Linked DNA regions of Kluyveromyces lactis. The protein of the gene in region 3 purifies or fractionates together with the protein of the main gene of each other region. This does not show direct contact. Links are inferred from orthologs where the notes say so. Each region holds a gene or a part of one and is shown on either strand. Other genes may lie near its edges. The genes, in order: CSL4, NOC4, UTP4, UTP6, UTP15, BUD21 and RRP5.

Region 1 (2,636 bases), about 530 kb from region 3:
GTTCCATAGAGCAAAAGTTAAACGAGCTGACAATGGAATCTGATCAAGAAGATCAACTAGAAAAACCATTGGTGCAGAATAAGGCAACTAAATCTAGTCTTGAAGATTCAGATAATGAAGACAACGAATTAATCTCAGATATCATGGAATTTGCAAGTATAATAGACTTTGGACAAGATATCGAGTTAAATTTTGATCTCTATTCTGACAATCGTTCACACTATGAAACTCTAAATCCGGTCAAAGAATCTGTGAAAAACTCTCTATCCAAGCCCAGCTTCAATACTGAGACAGAAAACTCATTTCTTGTGGAACTTACTAACTCCCCAGAAATTAAGACAAACAGTTCAGTACTCAACCAAAAACAGACTGGTTTGGATGATCAGAAACACATATCAAGTACTATAAAAACAAGAGACACATCACCAGAAAATGTTAGCAGTAGCAACCAAAACACTTTTTCTGATAGCAGTTTATATTTTGATAATTATGATGAGGAAGATTTTGAGAACGAAGATTTTAATGGCATACATGCAGTAAAAGAATCCCCAAAGATCAACGCATTTTTACCAGATATCACAACATCGATGAGCAGGCCTATATCGATGTCTTTTAGGGGTTTGAAAGCGCCACAATTCAACAGTACCATGGAACTTTCAGGGCTTACGGGACTTGAACATATCTCAGATCAGATGTCGAAGAAATCGGAAGAAAGATCTAGCTATGCAGCAAAACTTGTTAAGTTTTCCTCTCAAATAGTCCTTTATGAGACCTATGGTGAACTTGAGTATGATAGGCATCCTGATTCGGCAACATGCAATCAACTTACTCCTCAATTGGCCCAAATGATAAAGGACGAGCTGAATGAGCTTAAAGCAGAAATGGACATTCACGAAGATTCTATGTGCAACACTCACTTCTTTTAGTAGACCTATAAATACATGTAATCATAGTAGTTAAATCATTTACCATGCGTTTCTATGTTTCCCTTTATATGGATTCAAATCGTGCACGTAGCTTTCGTGTTGAGCCCGCTTTGAAAGCTTTGGTAATATTACCCTACTATTTGAAAATAATTCTAACTTGTCTTCAACATCTCCCAAATTTTGAAAATTGTTTCACTCATTATGAAAATGATAAAAAAAGAGCTGCTTTATGCGATGAGCTAACAGTAATACCAAACTAGCTTAAATATGGCCTGTAAGATAATAAGAGTGTTTGATAACAGTAAGGTTTGTCTATATGCATCGTTATAAAATGAAGCCTTTTAAAAATTTCCCCCAGACTGTTATACCCGGTGATCTTATATGTCCAATATTTGATGTTGATGATGATAACAAGCAAGAAGTGGTAATACGCTTCCTAACGGGCACTGGCTGTAAACAGGAGAATTTTAGAGTTAACGGCAAGAACGTTGATATTATCGTAGCCACATTAAAAGGTTCTGTATCTGTGGAAGAAGTTCCAGCAGATATTATCGAAGACGACGATCAAGAAGACTCAGAGAATACGACGTTTGTAGAATCTCATGAGACCACCGGAGGGGATGCAAGCTCTGGCAATAGTAGAGTTATAAAAAGTTTCAAAGTATCAGTATCAAATCCTAGCAAGTTTGCTAGCAAGTATGTTGATGACCAGTTTGTCAATAACCTTCCGCAAGAGGGCGATATCGTACTGGCGAGGGTGACCAGAATCAGTTTGCAAAGAATAACAGTTGAGATTTTAGCAGTTGAGAATTCGCCCTTGCCGATCGACTCTGGTGTCGGAAGCAATGGGACTGGCATAATTGCTGCTGCTGGTGGATCTGGTGCGTCTACGTTTTCCGTTTCGCAAGTGTCCGCGGATTTGGGAGAAACTTTTAGGGGCATAATTAGATCCCAAGATGTAAGGGCCACTGATAGAGATAGAGTAAAAGTTATGGAAAGTTTTAAACCTGGGGATATAATACGTGCTCAAGTGCTCTCACTTGGCGATGGTACCCATTACTATTTAACTACAGCAAGGAATGACTTGGGCGTGGTGTTCGCTAAGTCTTCTAACGGAGCTGGAGAACAGATGTATGCAATTGATTGGCAGACAATGATTTCACCAAAGACCGGAGTCGCTGAGAAACGAAAATGTGCAAAGCCCTTCTAATATAGTCGGAACACAACAAGCTTTTTGTTCAAGTCTATAGGTACCTTCACATACATACATTTACAACTTTCATTTACATTTACATTAGTTTCGTATTAGGCTTCACGCATATTGGGAATATTGAGGAAGTTTCTACTAAGATCATTGTGAATTCAACGCCTGAATATCATATGTTATTATCAGAAAAGTTAGTTGGACTTTTAGTTGATTGGGAATTTCAACTCATCGTGGTCACCTCTTAAATCATATTCACTCAGTCCAACTTTTTTTCCGAACTTCTCAAATCTTTGTAGATAATGCTTTCTCTTCTTCTCTGCAATTTGAGTTAGGACAGGCCAATAGGCTTCATGATTATATTTGAAGTCGAGGTTACCACCATAAAGCGTCTCGAGTTGATCAGGTGGCACATAATTTGGAAATGGTTCATCAAAAACCAATTTTTCACGAGTCAACGGATCAATAAAAGGATGGATGAGCTTCAAAAAGGTCCACGCAAGCCA
Region 2 (3,195 bases), on a different chromosome or scaffold from region 3:
TACTTTTTCCAAAATTTTTCACCAGAGCTTGAATCGCCGTATTCTTTTTTCTTTCGAGATATTGAAAATGACTCAGTATCAATTGCATATCAAAAGAATATGACAAAGCAGCAGAGAAACGAAAAGTAACGAAGTGAAAATGAAAATTGGTGCCAGATTCTAACTCTGATTCATAGTTGATTCATTTGTTCCCGCTCCGACTTGTCATATTCACGATACCATCGTATCACGGCATTTTTTTCTATCTAATATTTACGTTTACGTTTACAGTTAGTTTAGTTTTTGAAATGAATCGCACAAGGCGATTCATATTAGCAAGAAGCAAGACTCAAACACACAAACTCACATCAAGTCTATACATGGGATGACCTTCCCAAAAAGAATCAGAATTTTATAAAAAGTGTCCCAAATCATTCAAAGAATGTAACAAGATTATAAGGCTTGCGAGGGCACCACATTCTCCATTAAAACCATGAACAGAAAATAATTCCCATCCACGAAAGAATTGTAAGAATTAAAAAAGCGCAAATAGTATCATCGTCTTCTTTTAAAACTTGGAAGGTCATGTGGATTTAAGCCCAAAAAGAGTAATACAAGTAAAGCCTATCAAAGTTACATCTCTTCTACATCACCAATTGTGTCTTGTAATTTCTTGGTTCATAAATCTTTCTCTTATATATGATGAAATTCGGGCTAGATCATTTTATACTAATCGTTGAAATTTGTATGCTGTTAGGGCTCATAGGCTGCCGTGAACTGGAGGATACGCACCCCCTGAAGGAACGAGCATCAGTGTGCGTATTCAAGGTGATGCAGGCAAGACTTGACTGACAACAGAATGGTTTACCACTCTAAATTATATATTTAATGTCGCCATTGATAGCTAGTTTATTAGGAAATGCGATCACGTGATAAGAATAATTTCTTTTCAATTGTCTTCTACATTGCAAGAATCTCTGAAAAATTTGGAATCAAGAGATGAGATGAGATGAGATGAGATGAGATGAAGTCGAATAGGAAACGTTAAGGTAGGATATTCTCACCGTTATAATCTGTTTGATTACTCGCAATAAATAATTGGAATTCACATATAAAAGTTTCCCAAGGATTCAGACAGCGATTAACCAAGATGCTCTCGAAGGAAGAGATTAAGCAAGTTTGGAAGTCTATTAGCACCGGCAATGATAGAAAACATTACAACTCGTTGGTGAACCTAATCCATGGGTACAATGAACTTCTAAAGGAAAACGAATTGTTGCACAATTTGGAAGATGATTACCGTTATATGACCATTGCTTTGAGTCAGATTTTCATCAAACTTTTTGAGCGTGGTCAATTGATGCCTCATCTTGCATCCAATGCCAATGAAAAGAAATTCTTTGAATGGTGTAAGAAACTATATTTAAATTATAAGGTTAAGTTATTGGCTATCATTACATCTTTGCATGAAGTTAACTCGTTGAGTTTAGATTGTTTGGACTCATATATGAAAATGCTTCACCATGAATCGATATATTGGGCTTCGAAACCAAATAGTCCTTTCTTTCCAAATAAGACTTTAAGATCGTTACTAGTGGCTCTTTTCCATTGTAACTTTGAAGGTGATATCGGTTTCAAAGATGGTCAGAGCGAGAATCCCGTGTTTAATCTATTTGTGGAAGCCTATTATAAGAAGAATTTCGATATTCAATTCTACACACAATCAGAACTGATATCGTTGTTACCAGAACTTGATGGCCAAACATCTGACGAAATTTTGATGTCTAAATGGTTGGCTTTATGCAACAACGATGTTCAGGGATCACCAGACTTGGAAATATTCGTATCTGTGCCCCCACAAGCCATCGAGAATGATGCTAAGTTTAAATCCAACCTCGAAACAAATTGGTTGCACTGTCTAAATTTAGCCAACTTATCCAGTAGCCAATATAAAACTGTGCTTTTAGTGCTACACAAGAGAATTATAGTATGGTTCCATCAACCAACAAAGCTTATGGATTTCCTTACCGACTCTTACAACCAAGGTGGTATCGTTTCAATCCTTTCATTAAATGGTTTGTTTGAACTTATGAAAAAATACAACCTAGAATATCCAAATTTCTACTCAAAACTATATCAGCTTCTAACTCCAGAAGTAATGCACGTTAAGTACAGATCAAGATTTTTCAGATTAGTGGACACCTTTCTATCTTCTACACATTTATCCGCACAACTGGTAGCGTCATTCATCAAACGTTTGGCACGTTTATCCGTATCGGCACCACCAGGTGCTATTGTTTCTATAATACCATTCGTGTACAATCTAATCAGAAAGCATCCTACATGTATGATTCTATTACACGATCCAGAATACATCGACTGCGATTCAAAGAAAAGGCAAGAATATCTAGATCCATTCAACAATGAAGAAACCAATCCAGAACTTACAAATGCTCTTTCCTCCTCAGTATGGGAGCTAGAAACGCTAATGAATCACTACCATCCAAACGTAGCCACTTTAGCGAAGATTTTCCAACAACCTTTCCAAAAGTTAAGCTACAACATCGAAGATTTCTTAGATTGGTCTTACGATTCACTTTTGCAAGCAGAAACCAATAGAAAGCTGAAGATCCAACCTGCTCTTGAATTCGAAAGGTTTGAAACAATTTTCGAATCAGGTTCTGATTCAGCATTCCTACCCTTCATAAAATGGTAAATACATAATTTCAAGTAGAAAACTTAAGTAGTTCAATTCCAAATTGAGTACTTTCTTTCACTTTCGCAAATCTCTTCACATTACATCTCATCACATCGCCGTAATATTGAAACATCGAGATGAAAAAAATCAACAAGTCAACATCAAGAAGAGAAAGACTCACATCAGAAAAAACTTTAAAATGGGCTCCGTTTATCGGTCTTGAGGACTTAAAGGCACATACCATACCAGTTGGCTGCTTTTTTACCACTACTATTGAATAAATGACTGAGGAAGTGAAAGCCTGTAATCCAGAGAAAGCCTTAGAGCTGAAGAATGAAGGTAACAAGTTCGTGAAGGAGAAACTGTACGCAAAGGCAGCTGAGTATTATACAAAAGCCATCGAGCATGATCCCGAGAATACGATCCTATATTCAAACCGTGCGTTCACCAACCTAAAGTTGGATAACTTCCAAAGTTCTTTAGACGATGCTAAACGTGCAATTGAATTGGATAATAAC
Region 3 (4,153 bases):
CTTGATATTGTCCATCTCGTTGTTCGTGTGCTCTCTTTCTACTGTCACTACGACAATCTCTTATCTTTTGACATTACTGCCTGTCAAACTACAATTATTAGCGTTATCTGCAATGCAGAGTACCAATGGCTCTGAGCTTCCTACGAGCAATAAGGATGCATTCTATACCAAGAAACCCCCTTCGATCATCAAAAACCTCGCTGTGTGTGAGTTGACAGGTGTGTACATCCTTGCCACTATCTTGATGATTCGCTCCAATTTACCATATGATGTCTCAAAACAGGTCAATCAACTCTTGGGTGAGAAATTCACTATTCCTGATGTTGTAATCGACGTCTGGTCTGATAAAATGTTCGCTTGCAGTTCGCTCTTGACATTCATTGGTATTAAGGTAGCAGAAAGAACACTACACAGATGATATGCGGCGGAATGATGACCCTATGTTAAAAATCAATTTCGCGATGAAGATCGAGTTTATAATAATGTACAGAAATTATAAATTAGAATACTAACTTTTCTAATTCAAATGCAGGAGGTTGGGAGATCAAGAAGTTTGGTCTTTCCACAATGATTAATTGGTCACTTGCGATCTTTCCAGCGAATAATAGAGGTCTATACTTATCGGTATAGAAAAACGCCTTATCAGATCTCTTCTTGGAGGTGACATCTTGCGCTCTCTGAGTTTTTAAGAGATAATCTTCCTTAACTTCGAGTTCTTCATCGTCTTCATCATCCTCATCGACGTCTGCCTGTAGACCGTCAGTGGAAATAGTTAATCCGTCACGGTCACGCTTCTTTTGCTTCTTTCTTTTGCTAACTGGCAAGTCTAATGACATGTTGATGTTAACCAACCAGTTAGATCCCCAGAACCATACCTTATGCTCATCCATTTCATCTAAGAATATTCCTGTGCATCTCTCTTTCAAGGAAGTAAATTGCCTTGGGAGGTTTTCATGATTGGCTTTGAACCAGTCAGTGAGTAGTTGATCCTTCTCGGATTCCAAATTGAACTCGTATATTTTATTTTCTGATGTCACTACTACTACAGTCTCTCTTGGTGTGATGCACAGTGCAGTGATGAAGTTGTTCATGCGAATTAAAGCTTTACTACTGTTTGTTGTCAAATCTATTAAGTCTAGAGCACCGGTACCTCTAGACGCAACAGCGTAACGTTCATTTGCATCTAAATGGTTCACTGCATTCAAATATGATAGTTTATTGCTGGATTTCGTTGAGTTCGCTTCAGGTAACTCAATAGTTACGGTTTTTTCGTCGTCATCCTCTTCAAGGTCAATTCTAACTATTTCATCAGATTGTGAACACATTATTAACCTAGAATCATCAATGAACTTAGCAAATTTGCAACCAGTTCTCAACAAAAACTCATTGTCCAACTTTGTTACTTTCAATTTGTTGTCTGTTGGTTGTAAATGGAAAACTTTGGTAGTATTTAGTCTTCCCACTAATAAAACTTGTCCGTCAGTTGATAGTGCACAGGTTTGGATGTTTTGTTCATCCTTCAAAACCAATTTACTAACTAATTTGTAGTTCTTAGGCTCATTGACGTCTTCGCCAATATACCATATCTTCACGATATTATCCTGCCACATCACCAATAGTCTTTGTTGTTTGTTGACCAGGATGCTCTTATGGAATGGGGTAACTAGTGGCATCTTTCTATAATTTCCTTCAGCGAAAGAGGACATTGAGCACATGACAAGAGACTTTTCAATACCACCAGACACTAGGAAGTCGGATCCCATACATTGATAAGAGGACATAGATCTAACATCATTGGAATGGAATAATCTGTTTGAAGTACTGATCCATTTCATGCTCTTTCCTGTATCGATGTAAGAGAATTGGAAAATCTTTCTATCAACACCACTAGTGAACAATTGTGAATTATCCAGATCAGTAGCCAGACATAGAACATCGGCATCATGAACCTTGAAAGATTGAGTCAATGTTGCGTAGTTTAAGTCCCAGAATTTGACCGACCCAGTAGAATCACCAGACACAATTTGGTTCTGTTTAGCTAGATACAACACAGACCATACGAGTGTAGATTCTTTCTTCGATTTATCCACTTTCATAGTATGTAATAGTCTTCCCTTGTTTTCGTCTTGCTCCTTAGTATACCATATTCTAATCCTTCCATCAGAACAACCAGCGACCAAAGATTCATCATTGGCTGTCCATGTCAACGATAAGACACGAGATTCTTGCCTTGTAAGTATGCTCTCATGCTCAAGAACACCTTTACCACCACTGATGTTAATAAGTACTACACTGCCGTTATCACATCCGACCGCTAGCTTATTCATATCGTTGCTCATTGCAATGGACCAAATCACACCAGAGTTACAATCGTAATTTACTAACGGCAACCCGGTTGTCAAATCCCATTCTGTAACTACAGTGGAGCCACCGATCGAAAATAGTCTCAAAGGCTCTCCACGAATACTGCACCAGGAAAGACCTTCAATGGATCTTCCTTCACCTCCCAAGATCACGAACTCTTGTACCCAATCATCTCTTGGATTCCAGATCTCAATATTACCATTGGATCTACCAATAGCCAGTCTTAGCTCTTGCGGTGCCGCTTTATCAGTACTTTTGTGTGAAAATGCAAGAGCCGTTATATTACCAGGTGTAAACTGCACAAACCTGGATCGATGCACTACCTGTTTCTTCCCAGTATCAGTCATGATCAAATGTGTTCTATAAATTGAGGACCTTAAACCTGTATCAGAGAACAAAAGCTAATGTATTAGAATGAAACAAAAGATTGACAAACTGTAGGCTGATGTCAATCAAAAAACTTCACTGACTAGATAGAAATATACGACTTTGTTATCCGATGAGATGAGCTTCTGTTCTAAGCTTGTGTGCTCTTAACGCTGAAATTTTTCAAAAAGAAACTAGTTTAGCTTCAACACCGTACAGTATGATCATATCACGTGATATATTAGATCTATTGGGAAAACGAGATTTGTTTACAATTGGATCTTCTCTTCACATAAACAAACTAATAAACAAAGAGGAAAAGGAAAGTGGAAGAAACATCGGCGGCAACCTCATAGCAGCCTTTCCCTGGTGTATACTCGTGGTATTATTGACCAAAAGGGTGCAATTGTTTGATATGGATGTTCAGGATGGAGAATCTCCTACAAATCGTCGTGTTCTGAATTCTATAGCGGAGGTTTTCCAGGTGGCGCAGAAGAGTTATGCTGGTCACAGACGTCATGTAGCTGTCTTATACAGGATTTATTTGAAATGTGTGGAGCAAGAGATATCAGATGTGTTTCATTATTGGTTTATCAAAATGACTGTCAAAATCTTGCCGCTGAAGAAACAGGAAATCGTGGGGGATCGCATTGTTCGGTTGATTTCAGGGTTCATCGCAAATATAGAGTCGAATCTTAACAAGATGAGAACCGAAGATGGTAATGAGCAAAATGTGAGGAATTTGGAAGTACATTTCGGAGGATTTATTGATGGATTTGTGAGGAATCTGCTTCGAGGAGTGGAATCGAAAAATAAAAACGTACGATACAGAGTAATGCAACTTTTGGCCGCAACTATGGATAATATGGGAGAAATTGATGAGGAATTGTACGAGTTGATTATGTGGGTTTTGAAGCATAGGGTGTATGACAAGGAACCTCATGTTAGGATACAGGCGATATTTTGTTTGACAAAATTTCAAAACGATAACGTATCGATGATTAATGAATCAGAAACCGGAGTAAATTTCCAACTCGATGAAGCTACACAGAGTTTAATGCATATCATTAGGAATGATCCAAGTCCAGAAGTTCGGAGGGCAGCAATGTTGAATATTGTACGTTCGAAAGCGACCCAGAATGTTATCTTGGAACGGGTACGAGATGTTAATTTCATCAATAGAAGATTGGTGTTTACAAGAGTACTAAAGAGTTTGGGGAAGCATACGTTCGATGAGGTGGATTCTGATATTTTAGAGAAACTGATGACCTGGGGGTTTGAAGATAGAGATGAAACGGTTAGAAATTCTTGTAAAAAATTAGTTGCCTTCACCTGGTTGAACATCCTGGACGGTGACATCATCGATTTATTGGAGAACATTGACGTTGTGAACTCTACATATGCAGAACAAGCACTCTATGCA
Region 4 (2,999 bases), on a different chromosome or scaffold from region 3:
CTGTGGTATAATCATTTGGTGCAGTTCTTGCTAGAGCTCTACCACCGTTATGCCTTATTGGTGAATTAGCGTCACCAGCTCTGGCCATACCAGATCCCTTTTGTGGTAAAATCTTTCTTCTCGAATAACCAACATCACTTCTGCCTGGGGGGTTAGAAGACCCAACACGTTTACTGTCATTTTCGTAAACAACAGCACGCCATAGTAAGTCTCTTCTCAATGGAGCATCAAATACTGAGGTTGGCACTGGTGCAAATGTCAATGGTTCTAATGATGGGAATGAACGAACCGTTGCTAAGGTATATTTTGGCGGTAGACTAGCATTAGGAAGGGGTTTGTTGGAAACGTAACGGACCTGTAGAGAATAGGGAAAAGAGTAACAAAAAATTACGAGCAATAGTTAGTAAATCGATCTTCTAAAAGTAGGTGATATAACTGCTTAATGCGGAAGGATATCATCATGCAGTTTGAGGAAAGCCCGCGCTTTACCATTGCAACAGTGATGAAAATGGGTTTGACATACGTTTTTGCACAAATTCAAACCTTGTCTCTTGGAAAACATGGCTGATTCTGATACACTGACTTAATGTCTCGATACAAAGGGGATCAATTGGACACTCCTATGTCTGATCACCGCAAACAAATCAATCATCTTTAGTATTCAACCTATTTCATATTCAGATTTTTGATTATCGAAAATTTGTCTACCATGTAAAATATCCGGGTAATGTTAAATTGCCCGAATTAACGATCAACAAAACTGTCATCTTGTATGAAAGCATACAACGACATTAAGGGTCGCAGTTTATGGTAGTCCCGAATGTCATATGTAAGCGGATTCAATTTGCAGTAAAAAAAAATCCGATTTACGCTAGCAGAACAACAATTGTACTTGTCCTTTTGTTATTCATCGATGGTTATTTAAATGGAGGACTTTATTCTGACTGATTATATGAAAAAGAAATCAATATAACCAAAAAAATTCAAAAGCTTCAAGGCTCATCTCATCTCATCTCAGTATTATTTAGCATGAACAAAGCCAGTAGTCGTTTCCTTTGTCAGTAAGCGAGCGATACGAGTCTCCGTGATTACACTTTAATCAATACTTAACATAAAACTACCCAGAGTAAGGCGATGTCATCCAGAACAAGATATTACTTGGAACAATGTATTCCAGAAGTTGATGACTTAGTGCAGAAGAAGTTATTCACTAAGAATGAAGTAAACAAAATTATGAAGAAAAGGACTGATTTTGAACACAGATTGAGTTCGAGAGGTTCAAGTATAAGTGATTACATCAGATATATTGAATACGAGAAGAATGTCGATGCATTAAGAATGAAACGTGTTAAACGTATCTTGCAATCGAACAAATCAAATAGTATTTCGGATTTTACCATACAGCAGAGGATTCTCTATATTTTCCAAAGAGGCTGCAATAAGTTCCCAAAAAAATTGAAATTTTGGTCTTTATATTTGAATCATTTAAAATCAAAGGGTACAAATGCCTCTTATAAAAAGATTCAAAACGTCTACAATCAATTGCTCAAATTACATCCAACAAACGTTGACGTTTGGATATCATGTGCTAAATATGAATACGAATTGCACGCAAACTTCAAGAGCTGTAGAAATGTTTTTCAAACTGGTCTTAGATTTAATCCAGATGCTTCTAAACTCTGGTACGAGTACGTTAAATTCGAACTGAATTTCGTGACAAAATTGTTAAATAGAAGAAAAGTGATGAATTTAATCAACGAAAGGGAACAAGAGCTAGATATGCTACAACAGCAAGAGGAAGGAAGAAACTCCAGTAATGTAACAGGTCTGGAAGAAACTGCAGATGACGAAGCATACTTTGACAAAGACGGAATTCAACTTCCAAGTACTGGTGACAAGATGAAAGATAAACTAAACGAGTTACCAGAAGCCGATATGAATATGCTTGGATCAGAAGAAACTAATCCAGCACTACGTGGTGATGTCGCATTGGTTATATTCGATATCGCAATGAAGAATCTGGGCACATCTTTTGTCAAGAAACATCAAGGATACTACGCCGTTACCAATTCGCAAGTCGATGAAGAGCTCAGCAGAAACGTTATGTCCTACCTGTTTGATAGATGCCTCGAGTATATCAACTTATTTTCGGAATTTCAAGATTTAAAAAGAGAATATCTGATAAATCACGTATTGCAATGGCTAAAGGACGAACATTATAATATTTCCCTTGAGAAAAGTATGCCAGAAAAATATGTGGAATTATTATTGCATGATGTTACATTAAATATCAAATTCATGCCTGCCGGCGAATTAAACATCGACAGTCTCCAATTGTCCTTCAAAAAGTATTCTGCATACATCAGCAAATTAGATGAGACGAATGCCAAACAACTTACTACATTATATTCTGGTTATTTGACCCAACATCTATTATCCAATATGGATAAATCTGATTCGAAGTATGCTATTTTGAATGCTATTATCAAGAAACTGTAATGAGACACTGTATACACATTTTTATGTACATATTTGACATTAAGTAGTAAGGTAAGCAGTGGAGCCAATATTTCCACAGTTTTATAACTCTAATTAAACCCAATTCTGAGAAACGAAGAAATCATAGATTCTGTTGGCCTTCGTTGCCTCGATATTCAATAAATCACGACACTGTTTCTTCGAGAGTTGACCTGCAGTCCGTATTAATTCTCTGAATAGTACCTCTTTGATGGCAATGTAAGGCTTTGGCAAAATTTTCAACGTTATGCATAACTGCTGTTCCTCAGCTGATAATAATTGGAAATCTGCCCCATGCTGAATGTCACTGATAGTCATTAGTTTCTTACGTCCACTTCCTTCGTTATAATTTTGAGCATAATCAGCTTGCGATCTATGGGCCGAAGTAGCTCTATAACGGGCAGTGTTACTAGATGAAGAAGAAGAGTACACTTGACTTCCAAATCTTTCCAATGTCATAATTCTTGCTTGTTTATCACGTT
Region 5 (3,394 bases), on a different chromosome or scaffold from region 3:
CTAACCATGCGACAGCAAACAAACCACCGCCAATTGGAGCCTTTTCAGACTCAATGTATTTGATAAATTCACCAGTCTTACCATCAAAGCAACATATCTTACGATCGCTACCGACAGACACAGCATATTTCCCTGCACCTGGAGAGAACTTGACGTCTCTAACGAATTTACCTTGGCCGTGATGCGTTCTATCACTGCTTGCAAACTTGAAAGGTGGACCCTGGTAAAACACAACAGAACCATCATCACTGACACTGAAAGCTCTCATTGGTCTGCTTTGCTTGAAATGAACTGCATTGACTCTTTGAGAGTGACCCGAGACTTCACCTAACGAGTTGCCCGAGTCCCAAGAGACAAACGCACCAAACCTATCACGACCTTCACCAACAACAGCCAATCTTTTACCCTCAAAATCCCAGGATATATCAGCGACAGGACCAGCGAGCACATGTAGTTCCGACTTAACGTTGTACTCAATTTCTCCAGACTTATCGTCCTGATTCCAAGACCAAACGATAACTCTACCGGAATCATCTCCTGAAGCAACATATTGAGACCCCTGGATAGGAGAAAATTTTACAACAGTGACATTACTGGTACCATGGCCATTGAATTGAACGACATGTTCACCATCTAAAGATCTAATGATGGCAGATCTACCGCTACCATAAGCTAAACTGTCAGTCTTTGGATCATATGATAAATGTGTCGTAAAGTTTCTCTTTGTAGAAGGGAGAGGTGCAAAAACCTTTGCTAAATTAATCGAAACCATATTATCGCGAGATACTAGATCAATTGACTTTTGGAACACTCTGTAAACGCACCAGAAAGACCTCTTCCTGACTCAAACGTGTCCTGTTCTCATGGTTTAGTTTCTTGATAAACTGGTGAGTATAAATAAATTCCATACATATGGAATGTAAATAGACGAAATAATAACTACTGGGATGCAGAAATACAAAGAAAAGATATCCTAAATACCAGTTAGTATAATGAAAGTGGTATTGCTGAATACCTGGGAATCAAGAAAATCTGGGAAACCAGGTTAAAAGCAGATAAAGGGCCTTAAAGGCCCTTTATCTGCTTGTAAAGTACAGTGAACGGTTATTCTTCTCTGAAAAATCACAATCAACGAGATTCTTCGAGTCTTCAAAGAAAAGAAACCAGATTTTGGAAAAAAAAAATGATTGAAGCCTTAGCTCATCGCATGGTTGATAAAATAGATTTCCCTGTAATTTGCGAGTTATATCAGTCGGTTTGGTATCGTCAGACTACTGTTAAGTGATAGAGGTGATTCAGGCGATCAGATTGGTAGAAATATTGTGAAGAAAATGTCGTCTGTGAGACCTAGAGTGACGCCGGTAAAGGCTCCTGTGTTACCAAAGCAGACCACCCCAGAGCAGAGGTACTGGAGGTCTTATTCATCTACTCAGCTTGTTAAAGAGCACAATGCAGTGACTCATATTGCCTTCAATCCCCAGCATCCACATGATTTTGCAGTTACCTCTTCTACTAGGGTACAGGTCTTCTCGTCAAGGACAAGACAAGTGATCAAGACGTTTTCTAGGTTTAAAGATGTGGTGCATTCGGCCACTTTCCGTCAAGACGGTAAACTTTTAGTAGCAGGTGACGCTACTGGGTTAGTGTCCGTTTATGATAGTTATAATCCACGTACTTTGTTGCTTTCTATACAAGCTTCGTCGCATCCTACGCATGTGACGAAGTTTCACGATCAGGATAACAAGACTTTGGTGACGGCAAACGACGATAGAGTAGTGAGACTATGGGATGTTTCTCATGCTTATGAACCCACTTTACAGTTAACTGGAGCATCTGATTATGTTAGATCAGTCTGCTTTGTGCCAAATGCTCCACATATGGTCGCTACAGGGTCGTACGATGGAGTAGTTAGATTGTACGATATTAGAACGAAATCAGATAAACCACAGACAACTTTGGATCACGGTCTTCCTGTGGAAGATATCACAGCCATATCTCCTACTCAGCTTGCATCGTGTGGTGGTAACGGGTTCAAAGTATGGGACTTGACTAGCGATAGAGCCCTTTGTGAACGTCAAAATTTCGCAAAGACGGTCACCTGTTTGAATTACACAAATATGGGAGAAGAATCACCAATGAGTTCCGTACTAGTTGCATCCTCGCTTGATGGTCATGTTAAGATCTTTTCCCCGTTGGAGAACTTCCAATTCAAGTTTGGCTGGAAGTTTAGCAACGCTGTGCTAAGTTGTGCAGTCTCACCAGGCGATGCGCAAGGTAATAAACATTTCGTTGCAGGTTTATCCTCAGGAATTCTAGCCATCAAGACGAAGAAGAAGTCCAAAAAGATTAACCTCGCTGATGTCTCTGATTTGGAGGATTTACCATTACAACAGCAAGAGAAGTCTGCGAAATCCAACAATTTCCAGAGAATGATGAGAGGGTCCGAATACAGAGGTGATCAAGAGCATATTATACACAACGATAAGCCAAATCCTCAGCGTAAGTTGCGTCAATTCGAAAGGCATATCAACCAATTCAAATGGTCTGACGCATTAGATTCTGCATTTATCCCCGGTATGGCTAAAGAATTAACTTTAACGGTATTACAAGAACTAAGGAAAAGAGGTAAAATCAAGGTTGCATTATACGGTAGAGACGAAAGTTCTCTAGAACCACTACTCAACTGGTGCTTGAAGGGAATAGAAGATGTTAGAAGTGCACCAATTGTTGCAGACTGGATTGCGGTTGTAATTGAACTCTACGGTAGTGTACTGGAGAAGTCCCCAGTACTTGAAGAGATGGTAATCACTCTAAAGAAAAGAGTAAGGGAAGAGATCCGCAAAGCAAAAGAAGCACAAAAGATAGAGGGTATGCTCCAATTGTTAACAAACTGATAAAATCCTTTCTACACTGATCTATAACAAAAAGGAATGCGTGTAAAAGATTATATTTATTTACATTTATAGTACATAGACTGCAACAACTGTATCATCCCGTTCGTTACGTCTGTTTCTTTGTTTTTAACGTTCTGACTTTGAAGAAATCACCTTCTTCCTCTCCATTTACTGGCTCTGTTTCTTCCTGCCTTTGTTGGAAGATTCAAACGCTTGAAGTTGTTGCTAACAAGGTTGTATTTACTCTTACGTTGCTTCTTCTTTACGGGTGGATTGGATTGTTGTTCAGAGTCAGACTCACTTTCTTCCACTTCTTTACCCAGCATTTTATTGTACTCACGTTCCTTCAACTTTGCTAGCTGTTCATGAACATTTTTGTCTGGAATGTTGGTCGACTTCTCGTTTAATGCTGCTGGTCTCATCTTCGCTTTTGTTCTTTTCTTTATGGTTTTAACTTTCCGCACATAATTGCTCTCAGTTTCATTGCCGACAGTTCCCTC
Region 6 (2,477 bases), on a different chromosome or scaffold from region 3:
AGATATTTAGAGAGAACGTCAGCTTCTACTGTACAGAGCTAAATCATATGAAGAGCTTATTGAATAAGCGGTTTTCGCCTAAACGTCGAAATAAACCAATCACTTACGCACCAGCTTCAGCAGCGAAACCTAAACCCAAACCCAAACCTAAACCCAAACAACTGGACCCACCAATGCAATCCGGTGAGAGCAGTAGCCAGAAAAGCAGCACTCCCATACCAATCAAGTCTATATTAAGACCTGTTGATGGCACGCACGAACATGAGAATAAATCTGTCCGCATTGTGGAATCTTCACCACATCCGGAGTCTGTTCCAATCAGCACACCAACTAGGATAATAGTAGGACCATTACCTGATGGAAATGTTAGTGACTCTTTGGTATATAATGCCAGCGATTTAGAAAAGGGTCATATCGGCGTCGCGGAGGAATCGTCACCGCTACTAGAATCACAGTTGCCTGATTTGACAACATACCAAACAATTTCCCCAGAGTCCAACCCCACTGCACAGATACATTGCTGGTCAACACCCTCGTTGCCAATTCCAATACCACCACCATCAAGCGATCAGCCATGTTCAGGCGACCCCGTGCAGTCACCCTCAATTCCCCCATCCAGGGAATCACCATTTACCAGTCCGTTAAGTCGGTTCTTGCAAATGCTATACGCAAGATATCCTGTCATCATAACTTATATCCTAATCACCATCTGTGTCATTGGGATAATATATTCTTTAGTAACAGGAACTGGTAGATCATATCTCTTGGTTATTATAAAGGCATGTATATGCTGGATAATGGGTACAGACGTGGCAAGAATGCTTTTTGGTACCCAGTTCTGTGATATTGAGTTTAAAGTGTCATGATGTTTCAGTACTGCAAGCTACACATTAAATACCATTAGCATAGCAATAAAGTTGATATAAATTGATATAATCTAACCAACAAATAGCACCAGAACCAGCCAATACACAGCACAGTCCGTTAACGGGTGATGAGCATTCTACTCGTAGTCCAGTGTCAGGAACAAAATCTTCAGCACGTGACCTCTATTTACGTATCATTTCTTTTCGAAGTGAAAAATTTGGACAAAGCGATGAGATGAGATGAGATGAACCACTGGAACTAGTCCATGAAGCAGGTCGTGTTACCGTTCTGTCAGTGTTTCTGTTCAATTGTGCATTGGATTAGACAAGTGGCAAGAGTTTACTGAGAAATATAACAATGGGTTTGAAGAAAGTTCTAGGTTCTGGTGCTGCACTGGTAGCGAAGAGACACTTGAAGTTCGATGATGATGCGGATGATTCATTCCATACAGCTGATGAGGGCAACTCTACCCTAGATGCTCTCAAACCAACAAAAGCAGAAGCGAATGGTGAAAGTGAAAGTGAGAGTGAGAGTGATAGCGATGCGCCAGAAGAAGAAGGCTTGAGTAGTGGGAAAGATGCTATAGAGAAAAGGATTCAGGAAAGAGAAGAGGCTGCAAGGTTACAAGAAGAGGCAGCTAGAGAGAAGAGACGAAAGAACGAGAAAGTGTTCAAGCAACAGCAGCTAGAGAAGAAGAAGAAGCTGCTCGAGTCTGAGGAGGAGAAACAGAGAGAAAAGATGTTAGAGTTTGAACGACAATTAGTAGCGCAGCAGGGTTCGGATAATGATGAGCCGGAAGAGTTACCACAAGAGTTCTTTGATGAGCTAGAAAGTGGATCTGCATCTTCCTTCGCAAAGGCTACGCCGAAACATATTACTTTCTCGGCAGAAGCGCAAAGAGAAGAAGAACAGGCCCTAAAAGAAGAATTACGGAAACAAAAGAAGAGATCACTAAGGGAATTGAGAAAGACCCAAATACAGAAAGGACCTGTCACTGTGAACTTGCTATCGTCGATGAAGGTATCTAAGACACTGGCTCCAAAAAAGGAAACCAGTGTCATGAAATCAAAGGATAAATGGTTGAAAAGAAGAAGTCTCAAACGTAAATAGAAGAGGATTTGTGCCCACATGTACCTATCTATTCAAATATACAGGTCTTTATACATGTGATTTGTCTCGTGTATAATGTATTATCTAAAAGAGGAGTTTCCTGATTGGCTTTAGCTATCATGAGGAGCGAAGAAAGAGATCATTAACGGGATAAAGATACCCAAGAGTAACAATCTGACATCTGGAAGTGATTCTTGTTCTATTTTCTCTTCAGTGGTAACACCTTCGCCCATCTCTAAAACAGAACCCGACACTGGGATCGGGCCATCATTCTGTAACTGTTGTTCCTGGTCCTTACTTGGTGAGATCAACGCAAGCAATGAAGCATACAATAAACTACTACCGCTCAGAACCAATAGCCCATCGCTCATTTTCTCGATTAGGTCCTTGCTGACGAATCTCATCAGGATCACGAATAGCAACCCGAACGGTGTGGATATACTGAATGCAATAAGATTAGAGATTACTTGTAGTTTGGGTAATCTCTGTTTCGAAATCAT
Region 7 (4,104 bases), on a different chromosome or scaffold from region 3:
GTGAATCATTTTTCTTGTACACACTTAATGGTGCCTTTTGTTCTTTGATATCTTCGAAACTGTCGAAAACTTCAGAAATACTGATACGACCATGTACATTATCAGCCAACGTAACGTTAAGCTGGTTCTTCTTAACTGATGTAATTGTAGCCTTTGTAACCTTACCGATAGTGAAGTCCGACAAATCTTTGATAGACTTGTCGACTGGGTTAATTACAGATGAATTGATCTTCTTAACATCGGTCTTTTGTTTTAAAATAGTCAATAAAAATCTTTCATGTTCCTCATCTGTTCTCAATAAATACACGGTCACGGATTGATTGATGTAGTATTTCTTATGAATATCAATATCTCTGGTTTCTGCTGCATAACTTGGTAAAACCAAACCGACAAATTTACCATTGAATGCAACAAAAACACCACGGTCAGAAACAGATTTAACGTAACCATGCATCGGTTCTGTTTTGTCTTTATTTTTGATGTCGGAAAAACTTAAAGGAAGGGTACCGTCTTCAGCATCTTTAATCAATGATTTTTTACAGGACATGTTGAACACATGAGTCCTGATGTCCTTGTCCAAAACCAAACCTCTAACTTCAGAGTTAATCTTTAACTTTTTCTGCGAAGCTCTGTTTTGTTCAATTCTATCATCTGACAAATGGCCGGTGTAAATAACACCGCGCAACCCTGAATCTTTAGATTCTACGATGACGGAATCTTTAGTCTTTTCAATAACAATTGCATCGATGATAGATTTACCGACAACTAAAGATTCAATAGCACTCTTTTGCTTGGAAGAAGACTCTGCTGAAATTTTACAAGAAGCAATAATTCTGTTTCTTTCGAAGTCATGATTCAAAATTTTAACCAAAACACTTTGTCCTAGTCTTAAGTGTTCTTGTGGTTTCTTTACAAATGCTTCTGAAATTTCTTTGTTTGGAACGAAAGCTTTGATATTATTAAAGAACGAGATAACACAACCATTAGGCTTGAATATTTCAACAGTACCAATTGTTTTCAATTCTTGACTTTCAACAGTCTGAATATCATCATTTTTGCAGACTAACGTCACAGATTCTTCGTCTGCATTTACAATAGACTTTTTCAATGTCACAGTGACACGGCCCACAGAATCGACATTGAGAACTCTACCTTTAACCTTTGAACCAATTTTGAATTTTCTTTCAGGATACACAAGTCTGGTATCAGATATGTGTAAGGGAGGAACAAATGCCTTAAATTGATCATTGAAAATTTTTAATTCAATACCTTTTCCTGACACTGTGACAATCTCACAAGCGCTCAAAACTTCGCCTGCTGGAATATCGGACGATCTTAGGTATTTGACATCAAGTAAGGCTGGATCAGACGTCAATGTGTAAAGTTTATCTACATTGTTATAGCCGAGTATTCTTGCTTTCACAGTTCCCGTTGGTTCAGTTTCTCCTGCCTTTGACAAATGAATTTGTCCCACCTGTTCATTGTTGATTGATACGTAGAAAAATTGACTATCCCTGCCTTTAACTGTGCAAGAATCGAAGATATAGCCAACGGGGAAAGATTCTAACGCTTCGGTCTCCTGTAATTTTGGATGCAATGAGATGATATGAGGTTGTGTGGAAACGACAGCAACTTTATCGCCGCTTTTCACTATAGTGGTTGCCAAAATTCTAGCATTGACTAAGTCACCAATGGAGTAGTGATGCTTCAAATCCTCTACCGTAAAGAAATTGGAATGTGGCAATGGCAAAAATGCAGTTATTAGACCGAAGGCTTTACCGATAACACCGTGATTTGTGATAGTTTGAGGTAAAAAGTCAATCGATTGACCCGGCACGATGGCATCTATGGAAGAGATCTTTTCGACCTTGGTGTTTTTACTGGCCAAATCCAAGTTGACATTTACAGTTCTACCAGATCTTTTCGTCACTGTAGCTAAGAACACCATACCTGGTAACAAAGAACTGAATTCAGGTATATCCTTCTTTGAGATAAAACCTGTTAAGTTCTCAATACCGATATCAAGAATGGCACCGTGATCTTCTATACTTTTCAACGAACACTGTAGTGGACAGTTTTTAGCTAAATCATCATCTTCAAACACGTTTACTACAGAGGGTTCGATGGATAAGTCTAACTTTTTGTTCTTGTTTGATTCTAAAGCGCTGTTATTTTGTACCATGCACCTCAACCATTGGCCTATTTTGAAATATTTATTGAGATCAGGTAATTCTTTAGGAGTTGTTATGTCGCTTTCATCATCTGAAGAATCGTATTCTGAGTCCTCATTTTTTTCATCATCGCTTTCCATGGATTCGTCCAAATTTTCCAAAATCTTGGTCATTTGTTCAGAGATATCTGTTAATGAGACGTAACCATGCAAACCGTCCACCAAAGATATTTTCAGTTCATGTTTGCTGATCGATTGGATTTGACCCAAGACAATGGTCCCTTTGGTCATTTGTTTCATTCCAAAATGCTCAATTAAATCAGTCTTGTCCTCTTTTTCTTCATCATCACCTGTGGTAATTTGATCAAAATTATTCTTAGCATTCTTCTTTTTCTTCTTCGTTGGGCCCTCTGCACCAGTAGCTGATTCATCCTTGCCAAATAAAACATCAGCAACCACTTCGTTACCAACCTGCTTAACTTCCAATGGGGATAAAGCAGAAGAACCACCTCTTGGAAATGAGATTTCCTCGGATTTACTCAATGCAGATTTGGCTGGTGCTTCGGTAGCATCCTGTCTTACTAAAGGAGACTCATCGTCTCTCTTTCTTTTACTTTGTGGAGCAACCATGTTTGTGATCTTTTTCGGTATTTAGATATGCCTGTTTTCAAAACAAATTACACCTAGCAATTTAGATGTAAACCTATGTTTTTCTTGAAGTGTCTTGCAAACTATTGAAGCTCCTGTTCCCAAGTTGTTGTTGTTTTTGTCTTCTGTGAAGATAGAAACCAATAAAGCCAATAGAAAGCACAAAGCAAAAAGAATTCAGAGAAAGATACAAAATATGTTATACCAAACTGTTTCCTGTTTGAGAAAGTAAACCAGACTTATCTTTACCAGAATTAAGAAAGTTGCACTTGGTTTCTAGAATCAACAAAGCTCAGAAATGTGTTAGCATACCAATACAAATGATCCAGCACTTAAGTAGCTAAAGCTCATCTCATCTCATCTCATCTCATCGCATCGATTTTTGAAAATTTTCAATATTAAAAAAAAGAAATCAAAACGACATAGACGAAATGTAATCGCGCCTTTGATGCAGTGACAGTTTAATAATGGAACGTTGTACAGATCTTCCGTTGTTATCACTGGAGTTTGTTTGAACCGTATCCACGGATTAGGGTCTTTTGAATGCATGACATACTTCTTAACTATTAAGGGCTTTTGTTAGCCAGTTATTCTATCTTCTTAAAGAGGTATAATAATTACATATCTGTAATGGTGGAAACCATGTAACTAAAAGGTTCTAGGGGAGTGATAAGAGTTTTGTTGGTCATGCTAAGAAAAATTTGTGCAATTACGAGTGGAATGCCTTCTATGGTAATAGTTTCAGATCAGACTATATGTTTTTTCTCTTTTTTGTTCAATTTCATTTCTAAAGGTACTTTCACAGCCGGAAATATTTATTATAAGGCATAAAAGCACCATCATATTACAGTCTAAAGCTGTTTCTGGCTCCTTTCGATCCATTTTCAGGGGCAGTCTATATATCTATCGAACTACGAGAGTTTTATCAACACAGTAAAGTTCCACATTGTAACGTGAGGTATCATTGGCCTGCCTTTTCTCCTATCCTTCCTTATGTATTATGTGTCTTGGTATGAAATTTCATTAAATCAATTATCTTCAATTTATCAACCTACATTCTCATATATATCAGAAACCTTTAAAAAGTAATATGGAGTGGATTCTATCAATAGATAAGGTCGACCAACGCACCTTTGAAGAGGGACTCAATGTCATCATTCGACAGCAGATTTACAGGAATACCCCATAGTGCGAATAAATCAGCAAGACCGTCCTTTTCTTCGACAAGGACGGGATCCAGCGCTAATACAACTACTTCATCAGCAATCTTGGAACAAAACAACACA

The links.
Region 1: the proteins of UTP4 (region 3) and CSL4 purify together in Saccharomyces cerevisiae (affinity purification with mass spectrometry; 3 studies listed by BioGRID). This does not show direct contact. The link is inferred for Kluyveromyces lactis from reciprocal best matches to the Saccharomyces cerevisiae genes UTP4 and CSL4.
Region 2: the proteins of UTP4 (region 3) and NOC4 purify together in Saccharomyces cerevisiae (affinity purification with mass spectrometry; 8 studies listed by BioGRID, with this or other methods). This does not show direct contact. The link is inferred for Kluyveromyces lactis from reciprocal best matches to the Saccharomyces cerevisiae genes UTP4 and NOC4.
Region 4: the proteins of UTP4 (region 3) and UTP6 purify together in Saccharomyces cerevisiae (affinity purification with mass spectrometry; 4 studies listed by BioGRID). This does not show direct contact. The link is inferred for Kluyveromyces lactis from reciprocal best matches to the Saccharomyces cerevisiae genes UTP4 and UTP6.
Region 5: the proteins of UTP4 (region 3) and UTP15 purify together in Saccharomyces cerevisiae (affinity purification with mass spectrometry; 7 studies listed by BioGRID). This does not show direct contact. The link is inferred for Kluyveromyces lactis from reciprocal best matches to the Saccharomyces cerevisiae genes UTP4 and UTP15.
Region 6: the proteins of UTP4 (region 3) and BUD21 purify together in Saccharomyces cerevisiae (affinity purification with mass spectrometry; 3 studies listed by BioGRID). This does not show direct contact. The link is inferred for Kluyveromyces lactis from reciprocal best matches to the Saccharomyces cerevisiae genes UTP4 and BUD21.
Region 7: the proteins of UTP4 (region 3) and RRP5 purify together in Saccharomyces cerevisiae (affinity purification with mass spectrometry, with the first as the bait; 3 studies listed by BioGRID). This does not show direct contact. The link is inferred for Kluyveromyces lactis from reciprocal best matches to the Saccharomyces cerevisiae genes UTP4 and RRP5.

The regions. Positions count from the first base shown.
Region 1 is NC_006040.1:1,659,619-1,662,254, reverse strand, and holds CSL4 (exosome non-catalytic core subunit CSL4), read left to right. Parts: upstream 1-1,242; coding exon 1,243-2,136; downstream 2,137-2,636. Other genes in the region: BNI4 (Bni4p), read left to right, coding at 1-926.
Region 2 is NC_006038.1:952,990-956,184, forward strand, and holds NOC4 (ribosome biosynthesis protein NOC4), read left to right. Parts: upstream 1-1,129; coding exon 1,130-2,695; downstream 2,696-3,195. Other genes in the region: PPT1 (protein serine/threonine phosphatase), read left to right, coding at 2,959-3,195. UniProt on the Saccharomyces cerevisiae protein: Involved in nucleolar processing of pre-18S ribosomal RNA and ribosome assembly. Has a role in the nuclear export of 40S pre-ribosomal subunit to the cytoplasm.
Region 3 is NC_006040.1:1,131,567-1,135,719, forward strand, and holds UTP4 (small subunit rRNA maturation protein UTP4), read right to left. Parts: upstream 2,712-4,153; coding exon 501-2,711; downstream 1-500. Other genes in the region: KLLA0_D13200g (uncharacterized protein), read left to right, coding at 1-418; condensin subunit YCG1, read left to right, coding at 2,951-4,153. UniProt on the Saccharomyces cerevisiae protein: Involved in nucleolar processing of pre-18S ribosomal RNA. Required for optimal pre-ribosomal RNA transcription by RNA polymerase I together with a subset of U3 proteins required for transcription (t-UTPs).
Region 4 is NC_006038.1:119,427-122,425, reverse strand, and holds UTP6 (snoRNA-binding rRNA-processing protein UTP6), read left to right. Parts: upstream 1-1,134; coding exon 1,135-2,499; downstream 2,500-2,999. Other genes in the region: YML6 (mitochondrial 54S ribosomal protein uL4m), read right to left, coding at 1-355, 524-562; chromatin-binding transcription regulator ADA2, read right to left, coding at 2,593-2,999.
Region 5 is NC_006042.1:1,275,201-1,278,594, forward strand, and holds UTP15 (snoRNA-binding rRNA-processing protein UTP15), read left to right. Parts: upstream 1-1,331; coding exon 1,332-2,894; downstream 2,895-3,394. Other genes in the region: AIP1 (Aip1p), read right to left, coding at 1-772; SLD2 (Sld2p), read right to left, coding at 3,044-3,394. UniProt on the Saccharomyces cerevisiae protein: Involved in nucleolar processing of pre-18S ribosomal RNA. Required for optimal pre-ribosomal RNA transcription by RNA polymerase I together with a subset of U3 proteins required for transcription (t-UTPs).
Region 6 is NC_006037.1:682,612-685,088, reverse strand, and holds BUD21 (Bud21p), read left to right. Parts: upstream 1-1,224; coding exon 1,225-1,977; downstream 1,978-2,477. Other genes in the region: KLLA0_A07645g (uncharacterized protein), read left to right, coding at 48-866; Mn(2+) transporter ATX2, read right to left, coding at 2,088-2,477. UniProt on the Saccharomyces cerevisiae protein: Functions as part of the small subunit (SSU) processome, first precursor of the small eukaryotic ribosomal subunit that coordinates the first two steps of ribosome biogenesis in transcription of the primary transcript pre-RNA and pre-18S processing.
Region 7 is NC_006038.1:728,546-732,649, reverse strand, and holds the start of RRP5 (Rrp5p), read right to left. Parts: upstream 2,801-4,104; coding exon 1-2,800. Other genes in the region: YPK9 (putative acid anhydride hydrolase), read left to right, coding at 3,967-4,104.